Canis lupus familiaris: one gene and its partners. The protein of the gene in region 2 interacts with the protein of the main gene of each other region in a pairwise test. Links are inferred from orthologs where the notes say so. Each region holds a gene or a part of one and is shown on either strand. Other genes may lie near its edges.

The links.
Region 1: the proteins of SNIP1 (region 2) and SF3B1 interact in a two-hybrid assay, tested with the Homo sapiens proteins (2 studies listed by BioGRID and IntAct). The link is inferred for Canis lupus familiaris from reciprocal best matches to the Homo sapiens genes SNIP1 and SF3B1.
Region 3: the proteins of SNIP1 (region 2) and DVL2 interact in a two-hybrid assay, tested with the Homo sapiens proteins (2 studies listed by BioGRID and IntAct). The two-hybrid records come from large-scale screens. The link is inferred for Canis lupus familiaris from reciprocal best matches to the Homo sapiens genes SNIP1 and DVL2.
Region 4: the proteins of SNIP1 (region 2) and SRPK2 interact in binary tests that used the Homo sapiens proteins (3 or more experiments, as listed by UniProt). The link is inferred for Canis lupus familiaris from reciprocal best matches to the Homo sapiens genes SNIP1 and SRPK2.

Annotation. Positions count from the first base shown.
Region 1 is NC_049258.1:6,804,447-6,812,459, reverse strand, and holds part of SF3B1 (splicing factor 3B subunit 1), read left to right. Parts: coding exon 1-92; intron 93-1,021; coding exon 1,022-1,243; intron 1,244-1,519; coding exon 1,520-1,702; intron 1,703-1,795; coding exon 1,796-1,907; intron 1,908-2,914; exon of another isoform or gene 2,915-2,984; intron 2,985-3,382; coding exon 3,383-3,503; intron 3,504-3,846; coding exon 3,847-3,978; intron 3,979-5,086; coding exon of another isoform or gene 5,087-5,114; exon of another isoform or gene 5,115-5,538; intron 5,539-5,984; coding exon 5,985-6,257; intron 6,258-7,983; coding exon 7,984-8,013. UniProt on the Homo sapiens protein: Component of the 17S U2 SnRNP complex of the spliceosome, a large ribonucleoprotein complex that removes introns from transcribed pre-mRNAs.
Region 2 is NC_049236.1:5,005,304-5,013,316, reverse strand, and holds the end of SNIP1 (smad nuclear-interacting protein 1), read right to left. Parts: intron 5,344-8,013; coding exon 4,745-5,343; intron 3,853-4,744; coding exon 3,588-3,852; 3' UTR 2,365-3,587; downstream 1-2,364. UniProt on the Homo sapiens protein: Required for pre-mRNA splicing as component of the spliceosome. As a component of the minor spliceosome, involved in the splicing of U12-type introns in pre-mRNAs. Down-regulates NF-kappa-B signaling by competing with RELA for CREBBP/EP300 binding.
Region 3 is NC_049226.1:32,400,920-32,407,971, forward strand, and holds the end of DVL2 (segment polarity protein dishevelled homolog DVL-2), read right to left. Parts: exon of another isoform or gene 6,611-7,052; intron 5,935-6,610; exon of another isoform or gene 5,334-5,934; intron 5,150-5,333; coding exon 5,080-5,149; intron 4,839-5,079; coding exon 4,693-4,838; intron 4,563-4,692; coding exon 4,453-4,562; intron 4,348-4,452; coding exon 4,212-4,347; intron 4,079-4,211; coding exon 3,988-4,078; intron 3,858-3,987; coding exon 3,788-3,857; intron 3,702-3,787; coding exon 3,562-3,701; intron 3,485-3,561; coding exon 3,408-3,484; intron 2,867-3,407; coding exon 2,799-2,866; intron 2,669-2,798; coding exon 2,540-2,668; intron 2,449-2,539; coding exon 2,317-2,448; intron 2,198-2,316; coding exon 2,018-2,197; intron 1,648-2,017; coding exon 1,429-1,647; intron 1,314-1,428; coding exon 865-1,313; 3' UTR 295-864; downstream 1-294. Other genes in the region: ACADVL (very long-chain specific acyl-CoA dehydrogenase, mitochondrial), read left to right, coding at 1-75.
Region 4 is NC_049239.1:15,284,742-15,293,194, reverse strand, and holds the start of SRPK2 (SRSF protein kinase 2), read right to left. Parts: upstream 4,883-8,453; 5' UTR 4,878-4,882; coding exon 4,782-4,877; intron 4,495-4,781; exon of another isoform or gene 4,480-4,494; coding exon of another isoform or gene 4,347-4,479; intron 3,994-4,346; exon of another isoform or gene 3,915-3,993; coding exon of another isoform or gene 3,899-3,914; intron 3,810-3,898; coding exon 3,755-3,809; intron 2,067-3,754; coding exon 2,007-2,066; intron 1-2,006. UniProt on the Homo sapiens protein: Serine/arginine-rich protein-specific kinase which specifically phosphorylates its substrates at serine residues located in regions rich in arginine/serine dipeptides, known as RS domains and is involved in the phosphorylation of SR splicing factors and the regulation of splicing.

The DNA of each region.
Region 1 (8,013 bases), on a different chromosome or scaffold from region 2:
AAGCAAACTACATTAAAACAGAGATTCTTCCTCCTTTTTTTAAACACTTCTGGCAACACAGAATGGCTTTGGACAGAAGAAATTACCGACAGGTAAACTTTTATTGTAAAAAATATTTTCAAGGGGTGCCTGGCTGGTTCAGTGAGTAGAGCATGTGACTCTTGATCTCAGAGTTGTGAGTTCAAGTCCCACATTGGTCATGGACCCCACTTTTTAAAAAGGGTATGTATGTATGTATGTATGTATTTATTTATTTATTTATTTAAAGATTTCTTTATTCATGAGAGACACACACACACAGGCAGAGGGAGAAGCAGACTCTATGCAGGGTGCCTGATGCAGGACTGGATCCCGGACCCCAGGATCCCAGGATCACGTCCCGAGCCAAAGGCAGATGCTCAACCGCTGAGCCACCCAGGCGTCCCTAAAAAATATTTTTTTTTTTTTTTTTTTAAAGATTTTATTTATTTATTCATGATAGTCACACGGAGAGAGACAGAGAGGCAGAGACACAGGCAGAGGGAGAAGCAGGCTCCATGCACCGGGAGCCCGACGTGGGATTCGATCCCGGGTCTCCAGGATCGCGCCCTGGGCCAAAGGCAGGCGCCAAACCTCTGCGCCACCCAGAGATCCCCCCTAAAAAATATTTTTAAAAAATGCTTTCAACTAATTCTTCAGTCAGAGTGAATAAATGTTAACGTATTATTTTTTTCCTGGTTACCTCATAGTATGTGCCTGATTGTGAAAGGAAATTGATTTTAGTCAACCATTTAACTTCGTTTTGATTTTGCATCCTAGGATAAATACCCAACTATGAATTAATGTCTTTGTCAGTTAAATGAAATGCTTAATCTGGCTAGGAATACATGATTACAGTCTAACCTTAAATCACTTTGACTTCTACTCACATTTATGTTTTTTGGTCACCTTTCTCTTAAGGGTTTTAAAACCGGAGTTAACTCTTCTCAGCATTTTTGCAGACCTGAATATATCTAAAAGGTTTTTTTCCTTCTCTTTTTAGTTAGTTGATACTACTGTGGAGTTGGCAAACAAAGTAGGTGCGGCAGAAATTATATCCAGAATTGTGGATGATCTGAAAGATGAAGCTGAACAGTACAGAAAAATGGTGATGGAGACAATTGAGAAAATTATGGGCAACTTGGGAGCAGCAGATATTGATCATAAACTTGAAGAACAGCTGATTGATGGTATTCTTTATGCTTTCCAAGAACAGACTACAGAGGTAAGGATACTAATTATTTTGGCAAATTGCTGCTGACTTTCATATTTGTAAAACACATTACTTTTCAAGCAAGTAATTATCACTAAAATGTAATTGGATTTAAAATGTTTTAAATGTTCATGTTCTCATTCCAGTTGTCTGAGGAAATACGCTTACTTAAGTTTTTAGATTACATTTTGTTATATTAGTATTTTTAAACTATTCAATCACAAACGGAATTATCTAGTTCTCAGTGAATATAGTTTAAAAATATAACTCAGCTTTTTTTTTTTTTAGGACTCAGTAATGTTGAATGGCTTCGGCACAGTGGTCAATGCTCTTGGCAAACGAGTCAAACCTTACTTGCCTCAGATCTGTGGTACAGTTTTGTGGCGTTTAAATAACAAATCAGCAAAAGTCAGGCAACAGGCAGCTGACTTGATCTCTCGAACTGCTGTTGTCATGAAGACTTGTCAAGAGGTAAACTTTTGTATGAGGTTCTTATTTCCTCACCATATAGTTTCATGTAAATGGTAACATTTTAACATGTTTTTTTTTTTTTTATTATTACAGGAAAAGTTGATGGGGCACTTGGGTGTTGTTTTGTATGAATATTTGGGTGAAGAGTACCCTGAAGTATTGGGCAGCATTCTGGGAGCACTGAAGGCCATTGTAAATGTAATAGGTATGGAAATTGCTGGTCATGTAAGAATTTTTTTGTTTTGTTTTTTAAACTTTTTTGTTGAAAGTAAAATATAGAATTATATTTAGGAGTTGAGTGATTTCTGAGATTTTGTTTTTTAAGCACTTTAAAATTAGAGTAAAGTCAGGATGTCACAATAGTCTTGTTTCCTAAAACTCATTTATGTACTTTAAAACGAGAAAAGAGGGCAAGTTTAGGACTGTAAGAGAAGTGGGAATAGTTACAACTCAAAAAACTTTGAAGTCCAATGGAATAGAGAATCCTAATAAAAATAGTTTCTCACCTGAAATGTATTTGGGGGGTAGGGTGGGAGGAGACAATGCTGAAGTTTTAGTTTAGTTTTAGGACAAAATATATATTTAACCTTGAATTAGTAAATGATTATGGCAGGTTTTTCTGTTGGCTATTATGTTCCAGTAACATAACCAGGGAGAAAGTGAATTTTTCAAGTTGTGGTCTCATTTTTATATCTAATTCTTTATCCATTCAGTTTTCAAACTCAAAGTAAAGATAGGAGTATATTACAAATGCTCTTGGGTATGGAGAGCGAAGATTTTATTATTTAAGGACATCATGATGAAGCAAACAAATGGTCTCTTGTGTTTAATCTTTCATTGCAATTGAACATGACTGTTGGGAAAGTAACTTCTCTTTGGTTCAGAGGAGCCAAAATAACCTAGCAGGAGGTCAGAATAGCTGGCTGTGAGAGCCACTTTTTCTCATTTTATTTAGTAAGGGGTTTTTATGCAATGTAGGAGATCTTTGAACCATTGCATTTACATATAACCCCCAATCTAGCCCTGTCTTCTATACTTGATTTGCCAAAAATCAGTTACTTGGCCACTTGTGGGGCTCTGGTTTTCAGGGAGTTGTAAACCATATTGTTGATCAGGGAAACATGGGAAAAGCAATGGAGAGAGAATCAGAACAAGCAATTCTAGTTAGAGCAAGAGCCCCTGCCAGCTGCCTCCTTTTTTCTCTCTTCATAGGTGTAAATACCATCCAAGTATGCCCTGCATTGCAGGGAGACTGGAGATCTGTTTGTTTTGCAGTTAAAGGGTAAGGGGGCCCTTCCTGGAAAATTTTGCTTTAATTTACATGTCTACCTCTGGCTTATATTGTTGTGTATGGCCGGAACATAAACTGTCCCCATATTTAAATGTGAGTGTACAAATACATTTCAGAACCAGATAAAACTTTTTTTTGTTGTTGAGTATCCCATCATTCTTTAAATCACTTCACTAATTTCTTTCATTTCTATGCATAATCAGAAGTTTTAATAAAAAGTTAAAAACAATACTGAGTCTGGTCAGAATCTGGGGCTTTTTCTTTCCATAGGCAGCTGTAAGTTTATATATATGCCTAGTCATGTGTATTACATTGCTAAGTAAAAGGTAAAATGAACAAAGGGTATTGTTCAAGAGTTTATTGATAGTGTGTTGACTTCTATTAAATAGGTATGCATAAGATGACCCCACCAATTAAAGATCTCCTGCCTAGACTCACCCCCATCTTAAAGAACAGGCATGAAAAAGTACAAGAAAATTGTATTGATCTTGTTGGACGTATTGCTGACAGGTAAGTAGATTACTTAAACATTTTTATGAGCTGTTTGGTTGGTTGTGAGCTTTTGGTTTTAACAGTTAGCCACTTTTTATTCACTGCACATTTCTTTAATGTTGTTAATAGAAGTATATATGATAAGACTACCCAGTGAAATTTTCAGTGAAATTTCAATTTAGATGGTAATGAAGAGGTGGCAATATAGTTTTAAGATTAAACCATCCTTTCTGAAGAGTAACATTTTTTTATTTAATGCTTAAACTGAGTAGGTAATCATGTTTTGAGAATTGAATTTTTGTAAGATTACCTTCTAAAATTTCTTGTTATGGAACAAATTAACTTTTTTCTTTTTAAATAGGGGAGCTGAGTATGTGTCTGCAAGAGAATGGATGAGGATTTGCTTTGAACTTCTGGAGCTCTTAAAAGCTCACAAAAAAGCTATTCGTAGAGCCACAGTCAACACATTTGGCTACATTGCAAAGGCCATTGGGTGAGTATTACTTACTTTTATACATATGTTTTTAACTTTGTAATAAACCCATTGTGTTGAAAAACTTGTTTCTTAAGTAATCTCTAAAGGGCATGGTATGAGTAATGCAATTGAGAAAAAGCACATTTAACCGATGACCTTCAATATTTGAGATGTTTTCTTAAATTTCAAATTGAATTAAAATAGGAGAGCTTTAGGTTTTTAAAAAAAGTATATATATATATATTTATTTATTTATTTTTAGAGAGTAAGCACGGTGGGGAGTGGCAGAGGGGGAGAGAGAGAGTCCTAAGCAAATTTGGGGCTCAATCTCATGACCCTGAGATCATGACCTGAGCTGAGATCAAGAGTCAGACGCTTAATTGACTGAGCCACCCAGGCACCCCTAGATGGAGAGTCTTATATTTTAATTTAATCACACCGCAGATATTTTCAGAAAGGAAAATGGTACCATCTTTAGAATCATTCCAAATTTTTGTTGGTCTTTTTCAGGATATTTTTTAAAAATGTTATGGCCAGTTCTTAATAAAATAGCATAATTTAAGTTTCATGTTCATGCTTTGTGTGTGTTTGTTTTATTTTGTTTTCAGATTTTATCTGAGAGAGTGCAAGCATGAGGTTGGGGGAAGGGCGGGGGTGGGTGGGGGAGCAGGGAGCAGATTCCCCAGTGAGCAATGAGCCCAATGCAGGGCTTGATTCTGGGATCCTGAGAGCATGACCAGGGCCAAAGGCAGACACTTAACAGACCGAGCCACCCAGACACCCCAATACTTTGTGTTTTAAAAATATTTATCTAAGATGAATCCACCAACAACTGAAATTGTAACTGTTAGATAATCTATGGTTATTTACTTCCACTTCCTCAGAACCAAACTAGAAAAAAATAGTCATTTTAGAAAATGAGATACCATGTATACATGGGGCTTAATGACAAAATATTTTCTTTTTCTTTCTTTTTTTTTGACAATATTTTCAAGCGGTAAAACATAATAAAAGTCAGCTTAATTAGAGTCCTCACCCCTTCACCCTCTTTTTGGTAGCAGTAATTATTTCAGCAGTGATATATTCAAGACATTTGCAGTGAGTAGCTTTTATGTTTTTTTTTTAGCTCCCGTGTCTTTCCAAGTTTGTGGTAAAATAAATTCTGGAAGAAGTATACGTATGTAATAAGGTATATGGGAGAGAAGATAAGGAAAGTAGATCTTGTGTGTTGGGGCATGAGAGACCACAGTTTGGATATTGCCTAGCTCTACTGGCCATGTTTTGACCATTCTAGAATTGTTCAGTCTAAACATTTAATTAAGCTTCTTTATATTAGGAAGTTCATTAAAGACTGAATCCACGGGCGCCTGGGTGGCTTAGTCGGTTAAGCATCTGCTTTGGCTCAGGTCATGATCTCAGGGTCTTGGAATTGACCCGCACATCAGGCTCTTGGCTCAGCTGGGAGCTCAGCGGGAACCTGCTTCTCCTTGTTTCCCCCTCTCCCCCCAATCTGTGCGTGCGCTCTCTTTCTCTCTCTCTCTCTCTCTCTCTCTCTCTCTCTCTCTCTCAAAATCTTAAGTAAAACACATTTAAAAAATATGAACCCATTAAATTTTTTTCTTCAAAAGATTTTTTAATTTAAATGAAATTATTGGGATGCCTGGGTGGCTTAGTGGTTGAGCGTCTGCCTTTGGCTCAGGGCCTGATCCTGGATTCCTGAGATCGAGTCCCTCATCAGGCTCCTTGCATGGAGCCTGCTTCTCCTCCCTCTGCCTGTCTCTGCCTCTCTCTCTCTCTGTCTCTCATGAATAAATAAATAAAATCTTAAAAAAAATAAATGACGTTCTTCAGTAGAAACAAATGCCAGTGCCAAATTACTTTAGAGTATTATATTTTATCATAAAATTACAAAGTTCCCAGTAATTGTTTAATGTACAGTTTTTCCTTTGCGTTTTTTTTTTTTCTTTCCAAAAAAAGATTTGATACTTAATCTGACAGTTTGCTGACATACTGCTTTTTTTCAGCCCTCATGATGTATTGGCTACACTTTTAAACAACCTCAAAGTTCAGGAAAGGCAGAACAGAGTTTGTACCACTGTAGCAATAGCTATTGTCGCCGAAACATGTTCACCCTTCACGGTACTACCTGCCTTAATGAATGAATACAGAGTTCCTGAGCTGAATGTTCAAAATGGAGTGTTAAAATCACTTTCCTTCTTGTTTGAATATATTGGTGAAATGGGAAAGGACTACATATATGCTGTAACACCATTACTTGAAGATGCTTTAATGGATAGGTAAGTGACCCAAATTCAATGCAAGAAAGTAGTTTTCATTCTTCCTTTATGTTAGCACTTATTGGAATAATTATTATATGACCTACTTATTATGGTGCAGTTAAGGGGAATACTAGCCTGGATTTTTATGAAAACTGAGTATGATTATTTTTTAAATAATCTAAATGTTATTGCGGTTCCCCACATTTTCTCATCCAAGTGCCCCCTCCCCTTTTTAACCCTTATTCTTTCATATCTTTAGACCAAATACATTTTGAAAAGCAGTAATCGATAAACTTTTGTTTTAAAAATTAAAGTCAGATATAAATAAAATTAGAGGAAGTGATGAGCATGAGCTTATTGGTGTGGCAAAGAGACCTGATCTTTTTAGCTTTGTGTTATTTATTGGATGCGAAGCAAAGATTTCCAGTAGTCCTTTGAACTACTGAACATAGCCACGCTGTTTCCAGTTTAGGCCCCCAGTTGTGGAGACCGTGGTTACTGACGCAGTACTACTGCTTGAATTGTTTGTCAGATTCCTGGTGCCTCTAACCGTCTAGACTGACATACAGCTTTAAACACAAAAGTAATTAAGAATGTACGAAAGGTCAAGGTCCAAGTAGTAATGGAAATGACTGTTTGGGTTCTTTATTTTTCAGGAAAGATAAACTATTCAAATTAGAGCCAGTTCATTTACTTTTGTGTACAGATTAAAGTTACTCATTCATGACCTTCCAAAAGGGAGACTTAATAGGACTCAGCAAGTTACCACAAGGTATAAGTCCAAGGCACAGAACAAGAATCATTCTCTGTAAAAATTGGCCACATGGGGCCCAGTATATCAGGAAATTGTTCTGATTCCTTAGTGAGGTGTGCCCAAACATCATAGTGTAGCCTTTGAAGTATGTGACCTGAAGTTAAAAATTATATTCTGTGTACTACTAAGTTGATGTCGACTCATCGAAAATTACTAAATGAAAAGAATATTTGGGAAATTTATTAATGAGGAATACTGCTTTGCAATGAGGTCTAATAGATGAAGCATTATTATAGTGAAAATGAGAAGAAATAAAGATACTAGTAAGTTCAGTGTTTTTTTTCTTAAACCTTTAAGGTATTGTTACTACCTTTGAAGTCAAAGAGTGTGAACTTGTTCTTATACCCACCATAAACTTGTTATCTGATGCTTGTACTCAGTTAAGTAATTGTAGAATAAATAACTCCATGATCTGTCATAAGTTCGGTCAATGTGGTAGATGATAAAATTCTTATTATGTATGTTTGAAAAAATTTTTGGTCCTTCTCTCCAAATTGCATTTTTGGATGAAACTTAAAATTTTTAAGGGAAAGGATTTAATTTTAGTTACCTCTTATATACCAGTATTGAATTACTTTCAAATCTATTAAATTATAGAATTTAAAATGAGATATGACTGTTATTCATGTTGAAGAGTCATGTATTTTCTCTTTAGTAGCATACTAAAATGTATGCTGCACATGGCTCTCTTGCTCAAATTTCTTTCAAAGGTTAATTAGGAAATACGGTTTATCTTGGAACCACAGTGAGGTTTGAGTCATTAACGTTCTCGTTAGAATCCTGTCATTCTAAAGGCATTCTATATCGGATACATGAAGTATGAAGTGACTGCGCTGAATTTGTAATTTAGTTTCTAATTAGGGCAGGCAAATATTTGTAAAACTAAGACTATATCTTAACATAGAGCTTTTTTTCCCCACCCCATTATAGGGATCTTGTACACAGGCAGACGGCTAGTGC
Region 2 (8,013 bases):
TACGCAATCATTTGCTGGATTGACTCATTTGAACTTTAAATGTGAACAAATCAACAGTCTTTTTCGATTGTTTCCCCCTTGATAAATGGAAACTTTACCCAAGAGACCAGATGAAGCTTTAAATTCCAAAGCTTTCATTTAAATCAAGTAGGCTTCCTGCTTTTATAAATGCACATACCCAGCCAGCAACATTACGGGTTCGGAACGCCATCATATAAGCAGGCGTTGCTGGCTACGGTGTGCAAATCAGACTTTGGCTTTCATTAACATGCCTTCACCTCATTCCTCACGTCCACAACTAATTTCCACAAAGAGAAGAATAGTAAAAAAAAATATAACTGTATCAAATAATTATCAACCTAAATTATATATTTCAATTCTAAGTCTTTTAAAACCAAGCTTTATTGTATACTGGCATACTCCATACACTAATACGAAAGTTAAAAAAAAAAAAAAAACTCATTATCTGAATTGACTACTCTTTTACTTATCACCAGGATACAATAAAAGTATTTGAAAGCTACAGTACCAGTTGCTCTTAACAAGGTGTCTTTGTCCATGTTCAAATGAAAGAAGTAGGTGACTAGAAAGAGGTTGGATGGGGAAACCTGAAGATTCTGTCCTAGACTTCAGAATTGTAGACCACCACAAAGGATTTGGGGCAGGGGCTCAGAAACAAAGGGCTGTTTTGCAGATAGCTTGGTTTTACACCAATGATTTGTAGCCATGGGGGGGTGGAGGGGGCAGGTGGAGAAAAAGAAAGTTGCAAATGGCTAGGAGGAACAGGAGTTTCCAAGGAAAGAATTCAAGAAGAAAGCTTTAGGATTATGTCAACTTTGAATAACAAGTCCACTAGTGATATCTGGCTTTGGAGATGGGTCTTATCTTTGACTCTTTTTTTTCGCCCCATATTTATGAGAGTGAGAGAGAATGTGCGTGCATGTGCGTGCACAGAGGGGAGGGGGGGCAGCGAGGGAGGGGTGGAGGGAGAGGGGCAAGCTGACTGCACTGAGCAGGGAGCCTGAAGCAGGGCTCCATCCTAGGACCCTGAGATCGTGACCTGAGCCAAAGTCAGACACTTAACCGACTGAGCCACCCAGGTGCCCTGACCCTTTTTTTTTTTTTTTTTTTAATTTTATTTATTTATTCATGAGAGACACAGAGAGAGAGGCAGAGACACAGGCAGAGGGGGAAGCAAGCTCCAAGCAGGGAGCCCGATGTGGGACTCGATCCCGGGTCTCCAGGATCACACCTTGGGCCGAGGAGGCGCTAAACCACTGAGTTACCCGGGCTGCTCCTAACCCAACAGGTCTTAAACAAAACAAAACAAAACAAAACAAAACAAAACAAAAAAACAAAACAAAACACCATATGTGGGAGGGGGGGCACCTTTCCAGATGTTTGGCACAAAGAATCTATTAATGCAGGAAACTATTCCTCCACTTAACCAAGTTTACTTCACAACCAGACCTCTTATTGAAGAACTTAGGCCAAGTGGTCATCTATCATGCTGCCCAGCAGTGAAGCCCAAGGCTATCTGGAAGCAGTAGTAGGAGCACAAAATGAACAGGAGGCCTGGGAGGCCAGGTTAGTGCCTAATCCGAGCAAGAGAAAGCCATCAGTCTGGATCCATCAAAGCAAAACCTACCCTACCCCCCCCCCCAAAAAAAAAAGCAAAACCTACCTTTCAGGCATGCTCGTATGTAGTAGGAGGTCTAATGGCAGATAGGAGATAGGAAAGTAGCAGTCACAGTAGCCAGTGTGGAGTACAGTGGGGGCGGGGGGGGGGTACTAACTGCCGTTTCCTTGTTGGAGCCTCCCTACATCTAACTGATCTCATTAAGTATTCACTCTTCAAGGGGATCTTTTCATTTCTTTTGCATAAACACTACTCAGCACCTAGCCCAGAGTCCACATGGGGGACCTTAAAGGAAAACCAATGGTAAGAAAGACAATCTCACAACATCTTAAGTTACCAAGAGGAATGGGGGCAGCAGCACCAAGTTGCATCACAACATTCCTTCCCCCCCATCAGAGAGCAACCCTGCAGGGACCAGGGATCAAGTGGTGCAAGACCTGCTATTAGAACCAGCCCCAAAGGACTATTCTGGAAAGGAAAACCTCTTCACTGCCAATTGTGAAAACGCTTCTGCTTCAACAGGACCAGCACTCACCGACGTGTGAGGGTCTGGCTTCTAGAGCTGCCACTGGCCCTACTTCCCCATTTCCTGGTTTCGCCCCAGCACACCCTCTCTGCAATGACCTATTTTTACCTCAAAAATACTGATACAAAGATTCCTGTAGCTGCAAATGAACCTATAGACACATGGTCCTCTCTGCCAGGAAAAGGATAACCCTTTGAAATGGGGCTATATTTACAAATTTTATTATTTTTTATCCCAAAAATACATATAAATGAAAACCTGCTCTTCAAATGCAGGGAGGCCTTTGCCTATAATGTAGTATTACATTTACATCACAAAACATTCTCGTATGAAAATCAGTATATGCAGTTCTTTCACTCACACTTTTATGTATACACACACACACATACACACAGTATATGTAAGTAGTTACGACTTTGCTACTTACACATATTCCTCTGATGGGAAATTAGGAAATAGGGCAACTCCCTTGCTTTCCAGCCTTGGGAAGGTAAATACAACCTCTCTGAACATTTCTTAAAAAGATGAAATGTGTAAACTACACAACCTCCTTTACACATATACAATGCAGTTAGAATAAAACAAGGACCCTGCTACATAGATGCCACTGTTTTGAAAAGAGGAAAGAGATAATGTTTGAATAAAAATGCAAAGTTGAACAGATAAGATGATCAAAATTGTTATGCACATGCTCTATGGAAAAATCAGAATTGTCTCACAAGGAAACAGATCCATGACCCATTTCGGCCTCTTGTGACGTTAAATCAGCACCCACTGGCAGTAGCCAGGATCTTCCTTCCTGTACAGTCGTATGCTTAAGCAGTTTCCATAAAGCATTTGTTTAAGTCCAACAGTCAATAATGAGGTCATGTGGTAAATTCCCACCCCCCCAAAAATGAAGTGCAAAATCAACTTCTGTGACTCAAGAGCTCAACCAGGTCAAAGCTTTGGTATATACTGGAGGCTGTTTTGGTGACAACCAAAGCTTAGTATAGGATTCTCTGTTCAGGGGTTTGCCCCACAAACAAAAACAAACCCAGTCCACAGAGCTTAACAACTATATAAATAAAGTAACTGTACAAAGAGAACAAGCCACAATGCCCCTTGAACCAAGGGTTTGTAGTTTCCTAGGCGGCAGTTCTGAAAGCACCAACTAAAGCCACAATGCTTCTACTGAAACATGATGTGTTGGTGACACTGTTCTGAAAACAAATGCCCACAGGCAAGGGGCTGATGTGCCACAGAAAAAAGTTCAACCAAATAGAAGTCAGTTTTCTTATACTATAACATAAGATGGTCAGCAACAGAGGAAAGACTTAAGGCAATAAGAGGCAATACAGAGAGCACCATGGTGCTCTGAGTCAATCCCAAAACCTTTAAAGAAAGAAAGGGTCTCAAGAGTTTGGGCTGTTTCTTAGTTTGCTAGCTGTCAGATACTTCCTCCTCCTCCTCGTCATCCTCATCTTCTTTCCTGTCTACTTCAGAGGTGTCAGAGGACTCGTGAAGCAGGACATACTCTCTGCTGCTGAACCCAAATTTAAGTACATCTTTTTCCTTTAGTTCATAGTATCTCTGTGGCTCAATACGCTTGTTGTTCAAGAACGTTCCATTGCCTGAGCCAAGGTCAATGATGTAGGGCCTCACCCTTCGGCCAACTGTCCCATCAGCACGGGTATATTCCACAAGCCTAGCAGAGATAAAAGAGAGAAACTTGTGAGCAAAATCCCATTTCAGACCATCCAACATTTCGCTAACACAACCAAGATGATATAAATTATCTGGCTTGATACAGTTCAAGTCCAAACTCTAGGAAACCAAGGGGCAAGTACGGCCCTGGATTTGGAAATTGGGAGTAAGTAAGTAAATATACTTAGTAGAACTGCTTGCTAGGGGGTAGGGGAAAGTCATGGAAGACCAAAAGTTTAAAAATCAGAATCCAAGATCTCTTGCCACGATTAAGAAAATACATATTTGTGTTGTTTACAACCAAGATAATGCTTCTTTCACCAGTATTTCAACATATTTTAGCTCCTGTCCCAATGAGAATAAAGCAGTGGATTTTGACTTCAGAGTCAAGGGAGCTAATTTTGAACCAGATCATTTACTAGGCTCTGCTGAGCTTCAGTCTTCTTACTTGTCGAATGGGGATATTAACAAGTGACCTGTCCTCCTCATAGGAGTGTTGTGAGGATCAAACAGTAACAGATGTCCTACACAAACTGTCAAATACAGATTAACAAGCACACATGCCAGACACTCTCAGGTACACTTCCATTTAACCCTAAAAACAGCCCTATGAGATAGGGAGAAACTGAGGCCCAGAAAATGGCTTGCCCAGGCCAAACACCTGGAAGGTGGCAGTGGCAATGGCAGGATTCAAAATCTGGATTTCTGACACCAAATGCGACGCTTTCAGAGAAATGGAAGTGATTATTCAAAGGGCAGTTAGATCGGTACTCTTAAGACCAAGATTAGATCTGAATATGGGATTCTTCTGCAAATACATGTACACAAATGTCAGTAATCCTGAAACTCTCAGCTCTGCCCACGCTTCTGATTTTTCCCGCAAACAGACTCACCGATACTGAAAGACTGCGTGCTGCTTGGAGCAGGAGGGATGATCAATTGGGATGTCCGCTATGCGGCGGTGCCGGCCCAGGAGGTAGGCGCTCTGCCGGTGGATGTACATGACAGGAAGCACCTCGTCATTTTTAAAGGGGTAGAGGCGCCATCGTTTTTTGGGGATACGTGCCTCTGGGGGCTCACTATATTTAATGACGACACCCCGGAAGGTGTTAGTGTCCTCAAGAAGTGCCCCAGAAAGTTCAAAGCTTGGCTTTTCTTTAGCGGGTGCCTCTTTGTCCTTACTGTTGCCACCAGGCCGAGGAACCAACTCCTGAGACTCCTTACCACCAGCATTAACTTCATTCTTCTGGCGATTCTCTCGTCGTCGGGCATCGTAAAACTCCCGCTCTGCATCCTGAGCCTGTAGATTCTGAATGTCTCGGTCCCGTCCCTGAGCCTGCCCGCTCCCAGGCCTCTCGTTAGAGCTTCTCCTCTGGTGGGAATGGCCCCTGTGTCTGTCGCGGTCACTGTTCCTAGCCCGCCTGTGCTCCTGGCCCGATGGTTCCCGGTGCGGCCGTTCTTCACGTCCTCTCCGGGGATGATCCTCGCGTTCCTGAAATCCAAACAGATCCAGTATATATAAGGCAGTCCACACTCTGAACAACTGCGTTCAAAAACCCATTTGGGACTTGGACTTTGGCATTTAGAGCAAAATATCCGACAGAAATAAGGTTAGCAGTGATAGTTATATTCCCTTGCAAGGCTACATAGACTATTTCCATGCTGTCACCCGACTACAGCTCTAATGCTGCAAGCCCAGGTTCAGAGCCCTAGAAACAAGAGGAGCTGGGGCACACTTATAGGGAAGCATATACAGAAAATATAACAGAGTTAAGTAGTCATGTACAAGATAAACATGTAAAGAAAAAAAGCTAGTTTTCTCTTAAATCAAAATGAAAATGTAATGATATTAAAAGATCTCATTGCAACAATTAACAGAAATTGTTCAATAACTAGTATTACACTTAAGAAATATCCAAGACATGTAATAAGAAACCTATAAAAATTTGCCGATAGATCTGAAAAAAATAATAAACATACTATGGTTTCTTGAAAAAGACTCAGTATTGAAAATCAGCCTGGTAGAAAATGCAACATAATAACATCTATTAATAGTAAAAAAATAAATCAATAAGAAAGACAATTCAACAGGAAAAAAAATTGGCAAGGATAGTAACAATTTTCCTAAGAAATAAATATCTAAAGAACACACGAACATAATAAGCTTATCCTTACTGATAACCAAAGCATCAGAGTTCAAGAGGGAGCCCTACACACGATGAGCAAGGCTACCCCACCTGGAAAGGGTAAAGAGGAAATCCTGAGCATTGAGATCTCACTGCCTCCCCTGCTCCCAAGGCCTTATCCCTGCTACACACAGGTGTCAAGTGCAGGACTGCTTGCTCAGAGCAGAACTCAAGTTTTCTAGACTTCCTAGCCTCCAAAGACAAGCATCAGATGCTCATTCCTCCGACCTTAAGATACTCCCAAGTTTGCCACCACCACTGACCAGGACTAATCTCATGATTCCCTTTATCCCTGATTAAATGAGTCACTACAAGAAGCCACAGACTCTGGGTCATCACCCTCAACTCCCTTGTATTCTAATCCCCATAAGGCTCTGTACATCCACTATTCCAACAACCAACTGATTCTCAGTCTTCATTTTAAAGATGTAGCACCTGGCTGGTTCAGTAGGTTAAGCGTCCCACTCTATTTCTGTTCCGGTAATGATCTCAGGGTTGTGAGACTGAGCCCCCTCCGTGGGGAGGTCTGCAGGAGACTCTCTTTCTCTGCCCGCCTCCGCCCTGCTTCGCACACTTTTGTGTGCTCTCTCTCACAAAACAGTAAGTAAAAATAAATTTAAAAAATGTGTAGACCAGGCAAAATCAGTGAAAACTATGGAAAAGAATATGACAAACTGGGGTGCCTGGATGGCTCCGTGGCTGAGCATCTGTGTTCAGCTCAAGTCATGGTCCCGGGTCAAGTCCCAATTGGGCTCCCCACAGGGAGCCTGCTTCTCCCTCTGGCTATGTCTCTGCCTCGCTTGCTGTCTCTCATGAATAAATAAATTAAGTATTTTTTTAAAAGACAGATATATGGGATCCCTGGGTGGCACAGCGGTTTGGCGCCTGCCTTTGGCCCAGGGCACGATCCTGGAGACTTGGGATCAAATCCCACATCGGGCTCCCGGTGCATGGAGCCTGCTTCTCCCTCTGCCTATGTCTCTGCCCCGCCCCCTCTCTATCATAAAAAAAAAAAAAAAAAAAAAAAAAGACAGATATATAACCGGATAACACAAAATAACTAAGATTTCAATTATCAGTAAGATAACATATATAATATGGTCCTTTTTTTTAATTAAAAATTTTGCATGGAAAACAGAGATGCGTAACTAAAACATAAAGGAAAAAAAGCGAACATAAGCATAATAGAGCCTTGAAGTATACATATCAAACTACTGAAATGGTTGCTGATGGGGAGTCAGGTGATTTGGGGGGAGGGGGCTGTGATTTTGGGGTATAACAGAAGTAACCATGCACTACATACACCACACTCTCACTTTTCACTTTATGTACTTCTTTGTTATTACAATGAGCATGCAATCAATAAACTTATTTTTTAAATAATAATAATAGTAAACATTTTTTAAATGGTGGCACAGGTGTGGAGAGAGAATGTCTGCAAGCACAAGTCATGCTCCGGTCAGAGGATGTGTGCATTCCTCCTTAGGATTAGCCCATGTGAAAGTCACTTACTGTCAACTGTCTGTCAAGCCCTTTTGCTTGAAAGCCATTTCCAAGTTTTCAGCTGATTAACACACAGAAATTAGCTTTTAAAGAGATAATTTGAGGTCAGGAGGAAAGTAGCATAGATACGCAAATGAAGAGACATCAAGGCTGTAATAAATAAGACAAATTGTCTTCTAAAAGCCCTAGAATTTATTATAAAATTTTCATTTAGAAACCACAGATATAGAGCTGCCAGTTGTACACCAAAAACAAAACAAAAAACAAAACAAAAACCCAAAAACTAAAGCCACCACTAGTGGTGGACAGGCCCCATTTGGGTGGTGTGGTTCTGGGGGCTGCATTCTGAGATAGCTGAAGCAGCACCTGATCAACTCACACTGCACACCACCAAGGCTGTCTGGCTTTCTATCTTTGAGATATTATAAAGCTGGCCCACAGTCTCTCAAAGTAAAAGGAAAATCTGTTTTCTT
Region 3 (7,052 bases), on a different chromosome or scaffold from region 2:
CGGAACTTCAAAAGCATCTCTAAGGCCTTGGTAGAGCGAGGTGGCATGGTCACCAGCAACCCCCTCGGCTTCTGAGTGCTCCCCGCTGGGGCCTGGCCAGGCCTGTGCCTTCTCTCTCCAGCCCAGCCTGGCCCCGATTCTGCCTTAAAGAGGCCCTGGCCCCGGGGCGCTGCTGCTCTCGGAGGCCCACTTACAGCCTCTTAAGTAAAGGTTCTCACAAGCCACACTCTGCTCTCCTCTCGTCTTTCCCTTGCTGCCTGCCTCCCTCCCAAAGAAAGGAGCCAGAGGCGGGGGGAGTTTGCCCCTATTGCTTTATTTGGTTTTATACAAGTGACTAAATAAATAGAGTAACAAAAGCAGCTACGTGGGCCCCCAAGACCAAACACCCCAGCTTCCTCTGACTGCCGGCTAGGGTGCCCACCCCCTTCCTCCTCCCAAGGTACCACTGACCCCCCCCACCCCGCGCAGGGCACAACTGACAGGGCAGACAGAGTGGGAGATCACATTCTGGGGCTAGAAGAAAGGGCCCAGGAGACAAGGATTCTTCATATAAAAGTGGAAATATCTACTAAAAAAATAGTCCAAAAAATGTATGAAAGTCTATTTCAAACCCCCCAGAAGTCTTACAAAAACGGTAAAGCTAAAAATAACCAAAGGTCCCTTGTACACCCCCGAGGAAAAGGGGAGGAACCAGGCACTGCTGGTGAGAGTCACAGTGGCAAAGACCCCAGCGGGTGGCTAAGCCCAGGCCCTAGAGGCGTGATGGGCAGGTGACCGATGAGACACCCAGTCACAGGACAGAAGCACCAAGGGCGGACTGGATGGGCCGAGGGAGGAAACTCAACGCGGCCCCCGCTGCGCGCCCTACATAACATCCACAAAGAACTCACTGGGGTTACCCATGGCCATGTGGAAGCTTTGGCGGCTAGCTGTCAGTTCTGGGGGCACAGAGCCCAGGTCTCTGACAGGAGGGGCCCCTGGGGGCTGCACTGCTGGTGGGACAGGGGGTGGAGGGGGGGGCATCATGACCACCATCATGGGATTATAGGGGAGGGCCATCCCCGGGGGTGGCCCATAGGGATGGAGCCCAGGGTGGGCTCGGAGATTGGGGACACCCCCTGACGAGCCTCTGGAAGGGGGAGGGCCCCCATCACCAGCCCCACCCGGCTCCCCGCCCCGCCGGAGGCTGCCCCCACGGCTGGAGGGCTCAGACTCACTGCCGCTGCCGGACTTGGACTCAGGGGCCCGTTCCTCGGGCCTCCCTGTACGGCCTGCCCCCCCATCGCTTCGTGTTGACCCACTGCTCCGGCTCCCTGTGGAGGTGGAGGGGATGAAGCCGCCTGAGCCCTGGCCCAGTGTCCCTTGGCCTTCCTAGTTCTCTGGGCCATGCCCACCACCAGCGCTACCCGCTGTCAGACCATGACTTACCCTCGCTGTGCTGGCTGCTGGCACTGCCGCCACCATAGGTGTAGGATGACAGCTCGTGGTAGGGGGGCGGCTGCGGGCTGTATGGGTGTGGAGTTGGGTACTGGTAGGAGAAGGTGGGCAGCAGAGGCCAGGGGGTCGCCCCAGGCAGAGGAGCCAAGGTGTCCTGGTCTGAAGCCCCACTGGAGCCATCGTTGTCATTCAGAGACAGGTTGACCAGGTCTGGAAAGCAAAAAAGGAGATGGAGAGTCACTGCTTCAAGAGGCTGGGATGTCAGGCATCGCAGAGGAGCTGATTCCCTGAATCATGCATGATGGAGGTGAAGACAAGGGCCTCCGACAGGACACTCCTCGTGTACCACGGCCATTGCTCCCAGGGCCACAAGTACCACATGCTCTCGTGAGACTCCAGAGGAGATAGCACCCCCTCTCTGCCCGGGTACCCCAGCCCTGCACCCAGGGCCAGCCTGGCCACAAAACACAGGGGGATATTGTTGGCCAGGGCAGGTCCCAACGCAGGACACACACTGCTTAACAGTGGCCCTGGCTGGCTACTGGAGGTGGAACGAGGCAGTGGGGACACGCAGACTTACAGCTCTCACAGCCGCCACTGAGGTCTCCGAAGACGTAATAGCACTGCTCAGAAAACGTGATCTTGTTCACAGTGTGGCGGATGAGGCCCGCCTTGAGCAGCCCGCTGGCATACTTGCGGGCCTCCCGCCGCTCGGGAAAGCCCTCCACGTGATGGTAGAGCCAGTCGACCACGTCCGAGCCTGAGATCAGAGAGCACTCAGGTTCTCCTCTCCAGCTCCTGCCTCACCCCTGCCTCACCCCTGCCTGGGCCACCACTGCCACCTTATCTTCATGCCACCTGCCTGGGGCCCAACCATACCCAGAAAGGCGTTAGGGATGGTGATCTTGAGCCACATGCGGTCTCGAACTTCCAGTCCAGACTCCGGAGCTGCCATGGCCTTGGTGACAGATGCCATGTCCGTATGAATGGACAGACCCCGGCCCTCACAGCCTATCGGAGAAGAAATGAGGAGTAGAGACCGGGCCACACACTGCTGAAAGGCCTCCCAGGGAGGGGAGGGTGAGGTGGGCTGGGGGCTCACCCTCGGGCAGAGAAGACCCGGATGTCATGGTGCTCATGGACGAGGAGCCCGGGTAGGTGGGGAAGGTGCCAGTCAGTGCAGCCGAGTGAGACACCCAGGCAGCTGGGTCGATCGGCTGGATGGGCTCATCTGGGACAGAGAAGGTCCCCACAATGATCGTTTCCCTGCCACTCCCCAACTGAGACCCCGACCCCCATCCCACCTCTGCCCTGACCCTCCTCCACCCCTTCCTGTCATCCTCCTCCCCTGTAGCACTCACTTCGAGGAAGAGTGAAATAGGCCTGGGGAGACGGATCCCAGCACTTGGCCACAGTCAGCACAATGGGGCTGTGGGGAAGGGGAGACGCAGTCAGGCAGGGGCGGGGGGGATGGGGCGAGGCTTTGCGAGGGTGAAGGATGGACAGAGACACAGACAGACCAGGCTGGAGAGCTGAGCCTGGAGGCATCAGTGAGGGTGACCCACCAACACAGACAACACTAGAAATGAGGCTGAAACACAGAACCACACACACTCTATGTATGGGTCCATGCAGAGCCAGTCCAGGTCACAGAAGCTGAGCCCGCTGATCGAGGATGGGGACGGACACATGCACATGGACACACACACAAGGGGAGGGGAGGCAAAGCAGTGCAGTGATGACAGATGACAAAGGACACCAGGGCAGCGCTCCCTGCCAGGGAGACTGGTGAGGGGACTGCAGACTCTGGAGCACAACCCCCCAGCTCACGATCAGGTGGGGGTCATGCGGGCCATCCTCTGCCCCACGGTGATGTCACGTTATGGCTCAGCCCCTCTGGACACGCACCACCACGCCCATGCTAAGGGTGAAGCCACGGGCACCAGGAGAGCAGATGAGAGGTGGCTCACCCCGGCTTGTGCACGATGTCCCGCAGCACCCGCACTGCATCATCGTTGCTCATGTTCTCGAAATTCATGTCGTTGACCTGGAAGCCAGGTTGGCGAGTGAGTGTGGGTGAGAGCTTGTGAGACGTACCTGCCCCCCAGATCCCCCACAGGGCACCTGCAGCAGCATGTCACCCGGCTCGATGCGCCCATCGGCTGCCACCGCACCGCCCTTCATGATGGAGCCAATGTAGATGCCGCCGTCGCCCCGCTCGTTGCTCTGGCCCACGATGGAGATGCCCAGAAAGTTGTACTTCTCTGCAGAGCAGGCGCCCATGACAAGGAAGCCAGCCAGCGTTCCCCGGGGCCCCCGCCCTGGACCCCCAACCGGGGCCCCCTCGTACCCATGTTGAGTGTGACTGTGATGATGTTGAGAGACATGGTGGAGTCAGTGACGCTACTGAAGGACGAAGCCTAGCGGGGAGACAGGGAAGGCTTGGGTTGCCTCCAAGGACCCCAGATTCTCACTTTCTGGGCCCACATACCCCTGAGACCAAGGCTCCCTACGCCTGTAAGACGCAGCCATCCCGTGAGCTCCCCTCACCCTCTCCAGGCGGGGTGGCCGCTGTTTCCTCCGCCGCCGGTGGCGCTTGAGGAGGCGAGAGGCGCTGCTCTGCTCCGTGGAGCTGCTGAATCTGTCCGGAGGAGAGGAAGGGGAGTGCTGGCTGGCAGAGCAGGTGGGGGGGGGGGGGGAGGGAGGCAGAGACCAGCTTGGGCCTGGAGGACATCACCCGGTGGCGCTGGGAAGTGCAGGGCTGGGTGCCACACCTGCTCATGGTGTCATCCTCATCGGAGTCCCCCAGGCTAGTGCTCTCCAGCTCGCTGGTCATAAGGGTTGAGGAGCTCTCATACCCGGCCAGGTGGCGCTCCAGCCTCGAGGGTCCACCAGGCCTGTGGCCCCCTGCTGTGGAAGAATAGAACCTTCAGGGACCTGGCCTCAAGCTGCCTCCCCCATCACAGGGGGGCCTGAGCCCAGCCCCCAGCTCCTGGGCTCCTGGGCCCCCCTCACCACCGTGCTCACTGCTGTCTCTCCTACGAGGCCGTTCCCGCCGCAGGGACACCACTGACTCGGTTTCCGTCTCAGGCTCCAGGTTCTCCCGGCTGCTGGACACGTTAGGGCTAGGTGGACAGAGATGGCATGCGACCGCGTCAGGGGGACGGGGCTCCGTGTCCTCAACCTCCCCCTGCCCAGGGTCTGGGGTCTCCTCCTTGCCTCCCTCCCCCGGACTAAAGAATCCCAGAGACTCACTGGAAGGACGGAGGCCTAGAGTCCCCGATGCCGCTGGTCCTCTCCGGTGGCAGGGGGGGTAGCGGTGGGGGGGGCGGTGCCAGCTCTGCCCGGGGCTCGTGGGCTGGGGGAGCCATCTCGGGTTGGGGGTTCTCTGACGACACCAGCTGGAAAGATGCAATGACAAAAACTGACTCAAGCAAGGAGGGAGGCAACCGAGGTGGGAAGACAGGAAGAACACAGGGTCTGAGCAAGCACGTGGCCTGCGAAAAGCACAGGGAAAGCAGGAGGGAGCGGTAGATGCTCCAGAAGAAGGCTGAGGAGCTACAGCTGGCTCCCAAGCAGGTGGAGTGGTGAGGACCCAGACTGACAGGACCCTGGCAATGCGGGATGGACAGGGCTGCTTACCCAGGACACCACCCTCCCGTTGAAGCAGGGAAGGCGGGCGTTGTCATCTGAAATCTCCTCCTTCACCACCCTGCCAGGAGGGACAACACAAGAACCAGTGAGATCGCCCTAGCGCCCCCCACACGCACCCCGACTCGAGGCTTCTCATCTTCGTCCAGCTCAAGGACGATGACTTTCATGCAGCCGGCCAGGCCCTCTTCCCCAACACCGAGACACTTCACTCTCATGCCCCGGGAGTCTCCAAATTCACTCACCCCCTTTCCTTCCTCCTCCTCCTCTCCCCAGCTCATCCTCGGCTTTCAATGCTGGTCCAAAGATTTCCTATGCTGGTCCAAAGATTTCCTAGAGTCTGAGTCAAACCTCATTCTCCAATCTCAACGACCGTCCCACTCCCTCAGGTGACCCCAACTGCCCCAAAGATCTCTAACCTTTGGTGTCTCTAACAGCCCAGAATGACCCCAAACCTCCCTGAGCCCTACCCCGCTCCTCAAGGCACCGTCCCCAAACCCTCCAAAGTCTCTATTCTCATGCTTTCTTGGTTTTCTCTGAGTCATGTCCAAAGCCCTAGCCCAACATGCTACCTTTCCCCCACGAAAATATACCCATGAGACCCAAGGATGACACCTACTGGCTAGGCTGAGCACTCCCAAGGAGAGGTGAAGCCCACCTTCCCCTTCCCCCGGGGCTCATCTGGCACAAAATTCTACACTGAGCAACCTGTTCTGCCTGACGGACCTCAAAGCCCAGCCTTGGGGTCATTCCTCCCCTGGGTTCCTTGGGATGGACAGGACTTTGCCCCTTCTTCTCAACCACCACGTGGGATCACCACAGCCTATTCTTTTTTTTTCTTTTTTCTTTTTTTTTTTTTTTAATTTTTATTTATTTATGATAGTCACAGAGAGAGAGAGAGAGAGAGGCAGAGACATAGGCAGAGGGAGAAGCAGGCTCCATGCACCGGGAGCCTGATGTGGGATTCGATCCCGGGTCTCCAGGATCGCGCCCTGGGCCAAAGGCAGGCGCCAAACCGCTGCGCCACCCAGGGATCCCACCACAGCCTATTCTGTTCAACACTGCATCCTGGCCACACAGCAAAGACCCTGATGGTGGTAAAGTGAATGTTAATAAATATCTGTTCAATACTGTTAACGAGTATACTTGTTGAACAAGTATCTCATGAACAAACACGAGCTCTGAGAGACTGAGTATTGAACAGAAGGTCTCTCTCATACTCACATCCTCACCTCCAAATTAGGACAGCCTGTCTGATTAACCCTTTACCCTAATATGGTTCTAGGAGCCTGGATGCGTGACAACTTAATCCCACTTGTTATCGATAGGGCCACTCAGCCCAATCCCTACCACTGCTCTGTCTCGATATAATGCTGGATTCTTAGAGATGTAACCCAGTCCCGGCGGAGCCCAGCCCGGCAAATGATTCCACTCTCTATCACCATAACCCCGTTTACAGATTAGCTGAGCTCGACGCTAGCGATCATCACAACTCGCTAAAAAATTACTGTGCATCGCTTACCTATACGAAGTTTCTTGTGCCAACTGTGTCTATCTCCTGGGTCATATCATTGCTAACAAACAGGAATTTCGATCTAAATCAAAGGTAACTCCCAACACAGTCCCACCTTCCTCACGGCCAACGGTCTTTCTCAGTAGAAGCCAGTCCATTCAGCTATCCCAGAACATGGGCTGTCTCAGGCCAATCCAGCCTGCCTTCAAGAGCTGAGGCTGGCTACCTGGAGAACTCAGCCTCAAAAACCATAAGCAAATTTATTATTAAGAATCCAAGTCTGGCCCAGAATGACTCCAAACACTCCAGAATAGCCATATTGGGCTATTTTAGCAATGACCTACAACGTCTCCACACGCAGCCGTCCATACCAATATAGACCAGATTATCCCAATACAGCTGTCTGCACTGGCATAGCCTCAAAAACCTTGTCTGCCTCTCTACAGAGCGT
Region 4 (8,453 bases), on a different chromosome or scaffold from region 2:
TAAAAAAAAAAAAAAAAGAAAACCGGAAAGAACCTGAATCCTCATCATGGACGAATGGACAAGTAAAACATGGCATATCAATATAATGCAACATTATTTGGCAGTATAAATTCAGTACCAATACTTGCCTCAACATGGATGAGTCTTGAAGACATTATGCTAAGCGAAAGAAATCAGACCCCAAACTAATACATTGTATGATTCCATTTATATAAAATATCCAGAATATGTAAGTTTGTAGAGATTGAAAACAAATCAGGAGCAGAGGAAAATAAGGAATGACTGCTAAGTATGTATGGGGTTTATTTCTGGCAGGGAGGATGAAAATATTCTCAAATTAATAATTGTGATGGTCCCAAAGCTTTGTGAATATACTAAAAACCAGCATATTATACACTTTAAAAGCTAAATCTTAAAAAATAAAATAAAATAAAAGCTAAATCTTTTAGTACATGAATTGTCTTAGTGAAAAAGTTACATACATACAAAAAATAAAGATCCTTCAAAAATGTTATATTCATTCATGCCCCAAAGCAACACTACCCCAAGCCATATGATTTAGCTAATTCTTGAGATTCACGATTGAATTGACACTGTCATCCCTCCCTGCTGCATGTTACTCACAAAGCAGCTCAATTAATAATTAGCAAACTAAACTCACTGGAACAATCTGACAAGATTAAATTTTTGACTCAGCTAACTAGAGAAATCTTAATGTTATTCCTGACAACCATAAATTCCAGCGTACTAAAAAAGTAGCCTATGGGAACTGGCTCAATTCATAAAAGCTCACAGAAATGAATTGAATGAAAATGAAGAGTCAGCTTGTGTATACAAGTGGATAATGACAAAAGTAGATCATATTACATCAAACCAGGCCCGTGTTGTTTGTTACACAATTTAGGTTCGCCAATCTTTTTATTTATATGGTTTAAAATTAGACCTATTATTCCTTTTCCTCCACTGGAGAATTAATGAAAAAATAAAATCACTGGGCATCAGGAGACCTGAATTCTGGTCCAGACTATCACCTCTGTCAGGGCTGACTGTAAAATGAGGACTTCTCAGACCAGCAGGCCTCTCCTGAAATCTCTTCCACCACTTCTAGCACCACTGCTTGCACCCTGAACCAAGTCACCATGGTTTCCTTCATAGACGGAAGGCCAGCTCCCAGTTTCTACTTCTCCCTACCCCTGACAATCCATTCTCCACAGATGGCCAGTGCTCTTTTTAAAACAGGAACCGACCCTGTCACTCCCATGGGTAATCCTCTGATGGCCTACAGGGCAAGGCCCTACCTGCTCTCATCCTCCCATGGCCCCACCTTCTCCAGCAGCACTCCAGTCACCCTGACCTTTAGGGTCTTCTAACATTCCTAGTCCAGTCCTCCCCAAGGCCTCTGCCACACTCCCATCTCCTCCTCCTCATTCTAGTTTCTGGAAATGTTAGTTGCTCATCTGTAGAATGGTAACTAATAACAGTGCCTACCTTCTAGTGTTGTCACAAGGGATAAGAGGTGTGTAAAGCTATCTGCACCGTGCCTGGCGCAGTGTTCAAATGTCATCACTATCACTTAAGGCACCTCATCTTAATTTGGTCCCTATCCCTTAGCACTACCTGAAGTTGCCATCCTGATTTGTCATCTTCCTAGGTGGTCCCCCTAATATCCACAGAATATAACCTTCATGAGGAGCTTTGACTTTCTTGTTCAAAGCTCCATCACCAACTCCAAGAAAAGGCACGCAAATACTTGTTGAATATGTGAATAAATCATATCAAGCATTCCTTTAAAATAGTGTCTTAATTCAAAGAATTAAGCAAAAAATGGCACCCCATTAATCTGTTATATAATTGGGCTGGTCTCTTGTTAATTACCTTGCAAACCATTCAAGTCACTCTGCCACTGCCTGGGGGGCTTTTCCCTCAAATCTTACCACATAGGTACAGTTATCTCTGAGAGCAAAAACTGGATATTGTGGATATACGCTAATTCTTTATAAACATACCACATAAATCCAAACTGCAGCAGACCAAAAAAGGCTCTTGGCCATTAGGATAGTCATTCCCTGAAACATGAAAATATGAAATACGTGTTGACTTAGTTAACTAAAACTGCTTTTCTACACGCATGCCCACATACAACATACACATTACATACGTGTATACACACACATAGCCATTCCCAAAACCGAGGACGCGCTTTTTTTCCAATTCCCTTTTACATTTCTAAACATAATGCAATATGTGAAAATAAATGCTTTGTATTTAAGGTTGTTTTTAAAACCCAATACTCAGGATCCTAAACGTTACAGTTCTTCCTTACTCGCGGGCTTCATCTTCCGACATTCAAAGGAAATCCCAAATTTAAGGCCCTGACTTGAAAGCTGGCCAAGTCATTTTGTAAAGCATCTCCAACTACCGCGTCCATCCCGTTTTCACCTTTTAAGAATCCAGTATCAGATTTTTTTTTTTTACCCACCAGTTCCTCAATTCCTTCATAAGTATGTTTCCGTCACTCTAATATAATCTTTTTTTTTTTTTTTTTTGTCTTCCAAGAAAAGGCATTAACTATAGCGAGATGCCCATTTTGGAAAACCCTGAAAATGCTTTACAAGCCCTATCCCATCTCGAGTGAACAGAAAAATTGTCATGATAGCAGCACCGCGCTGGTGAGGCCTCAGGGCAGTGTTCAGGGAGGGCAGGAAATTCTGCAGGCAAGAGACCAAGGCGCCGAGGAGGGGGAAGCCCAGGAACGCCGCAGGGCGATCCCCCGAGACCCGGTCCTGAGGATGATCACGGGCCGCCGTTCCCTACAAGACCCCCAATGCCACGGAGTGTGTCTCGCTCCACAGGAAGGGAGAAGCCACGCATCCAGGAGCGAAAGACGCCGAAAGCCAGGGGCGGGGGCGCTGCGCGGTCTCCGAGCGGCTCTCCAGGAAAGGCTCCCCCTCGGGTCCGCGCGGACTGGGGGGCGGGGCGGGGCGGGGCGGGGCGGGGCGGGGGCTGGCACGGCTCCAGCAGGACCCCCTCCCGCCAGCTCCCGGGGCGGCGGGGGCGCAGCGCGGCTCGGCCCGAGCGCAAAGTTTCGACTGGAGACCCGGCGGGCGCCGGCGCGCTCAGGTCTCGGAGCTGGGCTGGCGCCAGGCACCCCCGGGCCGGCCGCTGGACACCCGGCTCCGGCTTTCCGCAAAGAGGCCGGGAGGCGGGGAGCCGGGGGGGAAGAGGAGGCCGGCCCCACGCGCGCGCACACACGCGCGGAGCCCACGGAGCACGCGGAGCCCACGGAGCACGCGGAGGACGCGGAGCCCACGGAGCACGCGGAGCACGCGGAGCGCGCGGAGGACGCGGAGGACGCGGAGCCCACGGCTCCCGGGCGCCGGTGCCCAGGTGCGAGCCGAGCAGCAGCCTCACGCCCGCACGCGGCGCGGCGGGGCGGGGACGCCAGCGACCCCGGCGGGCGGCGCGCAGGGAGGGGCGGCCGCCGGGGGAGCGGGAGCGGGTCCGGGGTCCGAGGGTCCAGGGTGCTCGGCCGGGCACCGCGGGCCCGCACGCGCCCTCCCCCGCCCGCCCGCCCGCCCCTCCCCCCGGGCCGCCCGCCGGGGCGCAGAGGCGAGCGCCCGCGTCCCCGGGGGGTGGGGGGGGGACGAGCCCGCCGACCCCGGGATCCCGCAACTTTCCCCTGCGCGGCCGCGGGCTGCCCTGCCCGGGCGGGGGCGGGGGGGCGGGGGCCCGGGGGCGCGGGGCACGGACTCACTTTTTCGGATGTTTCTCTCTTTTCGGCCTCCGCTTTCGGGCCTGAATGGCCAGCACTGGGGAAAGAGAAGACACCCATTAACGGTCGGGCCGGCGGCCGGAGGGGCCGCGCGGCGGGGAGGAGGGCTCGCCGCGGGCCACTCACCTTTCCGGGAGCTCATCCCGACGCGGCCGAGCGGGGGCGGGGGGCTCGGCGGCGGCGGCGGCGGCGGCGACGCGGGAGCCGAGCCGGGCCGGGCTGCAGCCTCCTCCACTCGCTCCGCCAGCCGGGAGGAGGCGGCCACCGCGCCTGCGCCGCCGCCGCCGCCGCCGCCGCTGCCGCTGCTCCCCGCGGGGGGCCGCCGAGACCCGCCCCGCCGGCCCCGCCCCCCGCCCCGCCCCGCCCCCGCCGGCCCCGCCCCGCCCCCCGCCCCCCGCCCACCTGCCCCGGCCGCGCAGCCTGCGGCCCGGCCTCCGCCCCCCGCGCCCCGGCCCCGGCCCCGGCCCCCGGCCCCGCCCCTCGGCCGCCCGGCCCCCGCCCCCCGCCCCCCGCCCCCCGCGTCCGGGGCCCCCCGCCCCCGCGGCCGCGGCCGCCCGGCCTCCGCCCCACGCACCGCGGCCCGGGCCCCCCGCCTCTCCGCGCTCCCCGCGCGCCCCTCCTCGGCCGGCGCCCCCGCGGGTCTCGCACCACCGCTCTTCGCGCGGCCTCTTCGCCCCCTTTGCTCCCCGACATCCCTGCATCCCCATGAGCGCCGCCCGCTCCCCTCTGGCGGCTGTGGAAAGGGCACAGGGCCGGGAGCGGGGACACCTGGGACCCGCACGAGCGTGTGACCTTGGGGAAGTCCTCTCCTCCTTCCGCCTCACCTAACCCCACTGCGGGCTTGGAGCGTAATGAGGGAAAAGATGCAAACGGCATGGAAAGCGTGATGAAGTCGTTGTTTTGTTTTGTTGGGTTCTTTGCACCTGAATTAAAGCCCAGCTCGCCAAACACCAAGCGTCTGACGATTTAACACAACAATCGCACCAAGCAGTTGTTGCCTACGTCTTACAGCGAGGAGGCGACGACGTCCAAAGTAGTTGAACAGTTTGCGGAGGGACCGTGCAAGTTCAGGCCTAGCTGACTCCAAAGCCTTTCCATGGATCATGCCGCCTGATAAAGATGGGAATCAAGCTGATAGTGGGTCCGAATGACAACTGCACTCTCTTCCTTTGTTTGTTTAAGTAATTACAGTGTCTTGGAAAGATATCCGCCCCACCGCGGACTCTCTCTGGTTCTACGACTGTGTTCTTAGCTGACCAAAGTAACTAGTCTGATCCTAAAGATGCTAAAACCAAAGAACTGAAAGCGCTGCTCAGACTTGATGGAACTTTTACTTTCTCAACATGTTTTTTTTAAGTTTTTATTTTAATCACCCAGAGGGAGTGGACTCTTTAATCCCCGGCACCTACTTCAGCCATCCCCACCCACTTCCCCTCTGGTAACCATCAGTTTGTTCTCTCTAGTTAAGTACTTTCTCAACTTTTTATTTTCAAAAAGATCTACCCTACAGAGAAGTTACGAGAAAAATATAATGAACACCCGTATTAACCCATATGCACCGATTTTTAACATTTCATCACATTTGCTTTCCTTGTGTGTATGTGTGCCTATGGAAGTTCCTTTGTTTCGTTTTTGCTGAATTATTGAAGTTTTTGCATCGTTACTCTTTACCCTTAACATGTCAATAAGTACCAAGAACAAGGATATTCTACGCAATCAGAATTCCATTATCATACCAAGAAAATTTAATATTAATACAGAGGCCATATTCACATTTTCAAAATGTCCCTTGTAGCTGACTTTTTTCCTATCCAGGATACAATCAAGAATCGTCCATTACATTTAATTGCCATGTCTTTTTTACACTCCTTTAGTCTAGAATAATCCCTGGTTGTTGTTGGGTTTTTTTTTTTTTTCTCTCTCTTTTATAACATTGACTTCTTTTGAGGAATCCAATTCACTGTTCTGCAGGATGTTCCTCAGTTTGTAGTCATCTGTTCCCTGTTAAAGTCAAGTTAAATAATTTTGGCAAGTACGCTATATGGATGATATTGTGTCCATCTCAGTATGTTGCAACAGAAAGGAAATGATGTCAGTTTGTTTCATTATTCGTGATGTTACATTTAATCATTTTTCTATAGTAAGGCCAGCTTTTATTCTTTTCTACTTAAAAAAGTGGTCTATGTTCAAAACGAGTAAAGGACTTGAATACACGTTTCTCCAAAGATATACAAATAGCCAACAAGTACATGAAAGATGCTCAATTTCCTTAGACAAATGCAAAGCAAAACCACAATGAGACACCCCTTTGCACCTACTAGGATGACTATGTTTTTTTAATAGAAAATAAAGGTTGCCTTGATCACCCAGTTGGTTAAGCGGTTAAGTGTCAGACTCTTGGTTTTGGCTTAGATCATGAACTCATGGGTTCTGAGATCAAGCCGGATGTCAAGCCCCATGTTGAGTCCCACAGGCTCAGCGTTCAGTGGGGATCCTACTTGAGACTCTCTGTCCCCTCCCCCACTCACTCTCACCCTTTCAAATAAATACATCTTTAAAAACAAATAGATAAAAAAATAATAATAAAAATGAAAAAAAACAAATAAATCAATGGAAAATAAGTCTTGTTAAGGATATTGAGATATTGGAATCCTTGTACATTGCTGGTGGGAATGTAAAATGGCGCAATCACTGTCAAAAACAGCCTCACAGTTCCTCAAAAAACAAAAAAGAATTATCAACAATTCCACCCCTCGGTATATATCCAAAACCATTGCAAACAGGTACTCAAATCTTTGTGCACAAATGCACATGGCAGTAATAATCACAGGAGCCAAAATGTTAGAAACAACTCAAGTATCCATCAACACATGAATAGACAAATTGCAGTATACACACACCATGAAATATTTTTCAGCCCATAAAAAGAGTGAAGAAGAAAAAGAAGAATGATACATGCTACAACATGGATAAACCTCAAAACATTATGCCAAGGGAAAGAAGCCAGACACAAAAGGTCTGTTTTGTATTGCATGATTCCATTTATGTGAAACATCTAGAATTAGCAAATCCACAGAAAGCAGATAGGTGGTGGCCAGCGGCTGGGGGGAGGGGAAATGAGGAGCAAGAGCTTAATGGATATAAGGTTTTATTTTGTAGTGATGAAAATGCTTTGGAACTAGAAAGACATGGTGGTGACACAATATTGTGGATGTATGAATGCCACTGAATTGTGCACTCTAAAATTATTAACTTCATGTTAGGTGAATTTCACTTCAATTTTAAAAACAAGGGATCCCTGGGTGGCGCAGCGGTTTGGCGCCTGCCTTTGGCCCAGGGCGCGGTCCTGGAGACCCGGGATCGAATCCCACGTCGGGCTCCCGGTGCATGGAGCCTGCTTCTCCCTCTGCCTGTGTCTCTGCCTCTCTCTCTCTCTCTCTGTGACTATAATAAATAAATAAAAATTAAAAAAAAATCCTGTGGGGTAGTACTTTGAAATTTTGTGAGTATCCTTCCCCAAGAATCTTTCACTCTGTGGGTTTAGCGTCTATGGATGATGCTTGCCTGAATCAATTAACACTATAGCGGTTATAGGGGGTGCCCCTAGCTGGCTCAGTAGGGCACACGCCTCTTGATCTTGGGAATGTGAGTTCGAGCCTCATGTTGGGTGTATTACTTAAAAAAATAAATTCTGAAAAAAAGAAGAAAAAACAAAGGAGGCCCTGGGTTTTGGGGCACCTAGGTAGCTCAGCGGTTCAGCTTCTGCCTTTGGCTCAGGGTGTGATCCCAGGGTCCGGGAACAAGTCCCACATTGGGGTCCTTGCATGGAGCCTGCTTCTCCCTCTGCCTAGGTCTCTCGGCCTCTCTCTCTTTCTGTATCTCTCATGAATAAATAAATGAATAAATAAATAAATAAATAAATAAACAAATAAATAAAATCTTTTTTAAAAAATTAGATGGGAGGCACAATCTATCTGCTAGATCTTTTACATTCATTTGTTCAACAAATAATTACCAAATATCTATTCTGTAGCATGATGGTAGGTATTGAGTCTACAGCAGTGAACAAAGCTCACAGAAATCTCCCTGCCCTCATGGAGCTTACATTCTACTGCCAGAAGCAGAAAATAAACAAAATAAGTACGTGAATTATATACTATGATTACTAGATGGCAGTAGTAACTATGAAAAGAAAAAAAAAATGAAAACCAAAAAACACCAACCTTTTCAGAGGTGTTTAAGAAAATGCTCACCAATGGGCACCTGGGTGGCTCAGTTGGCTAAGCAGCCCCTCCCCCTGCTCATACTCATGCTTTCTCTCTCAAATAAATAAAATATTTTTTGTATATTTATTTATTTATTTATGATAGTCACACAGAGAGAGAGAGAGAGGCAGAGACACAGGCAGAGGGAGAAGCAGGCTCCATGCACCGGGAGCCCGATGTGGGATTCGATCCCGGGTCTCCAGGATCGCGCCCTGGGCCAAAGGCAGGCGCCAAACCACTGCGCCACCCAGGGATCCCTTTTTTTTTATATTTTATTTATTCATGAAAGACACAGAGAGAGAGCTAGAGACACAGGCAGAGGCAGAGAGCCCGATGTGGGACTTGATCCCAGGTCTCCAGAATCACGCCCTAGACTGAAGGCGGTGCTAAATCGCTCAGCCACCCGGGCTGCCCCA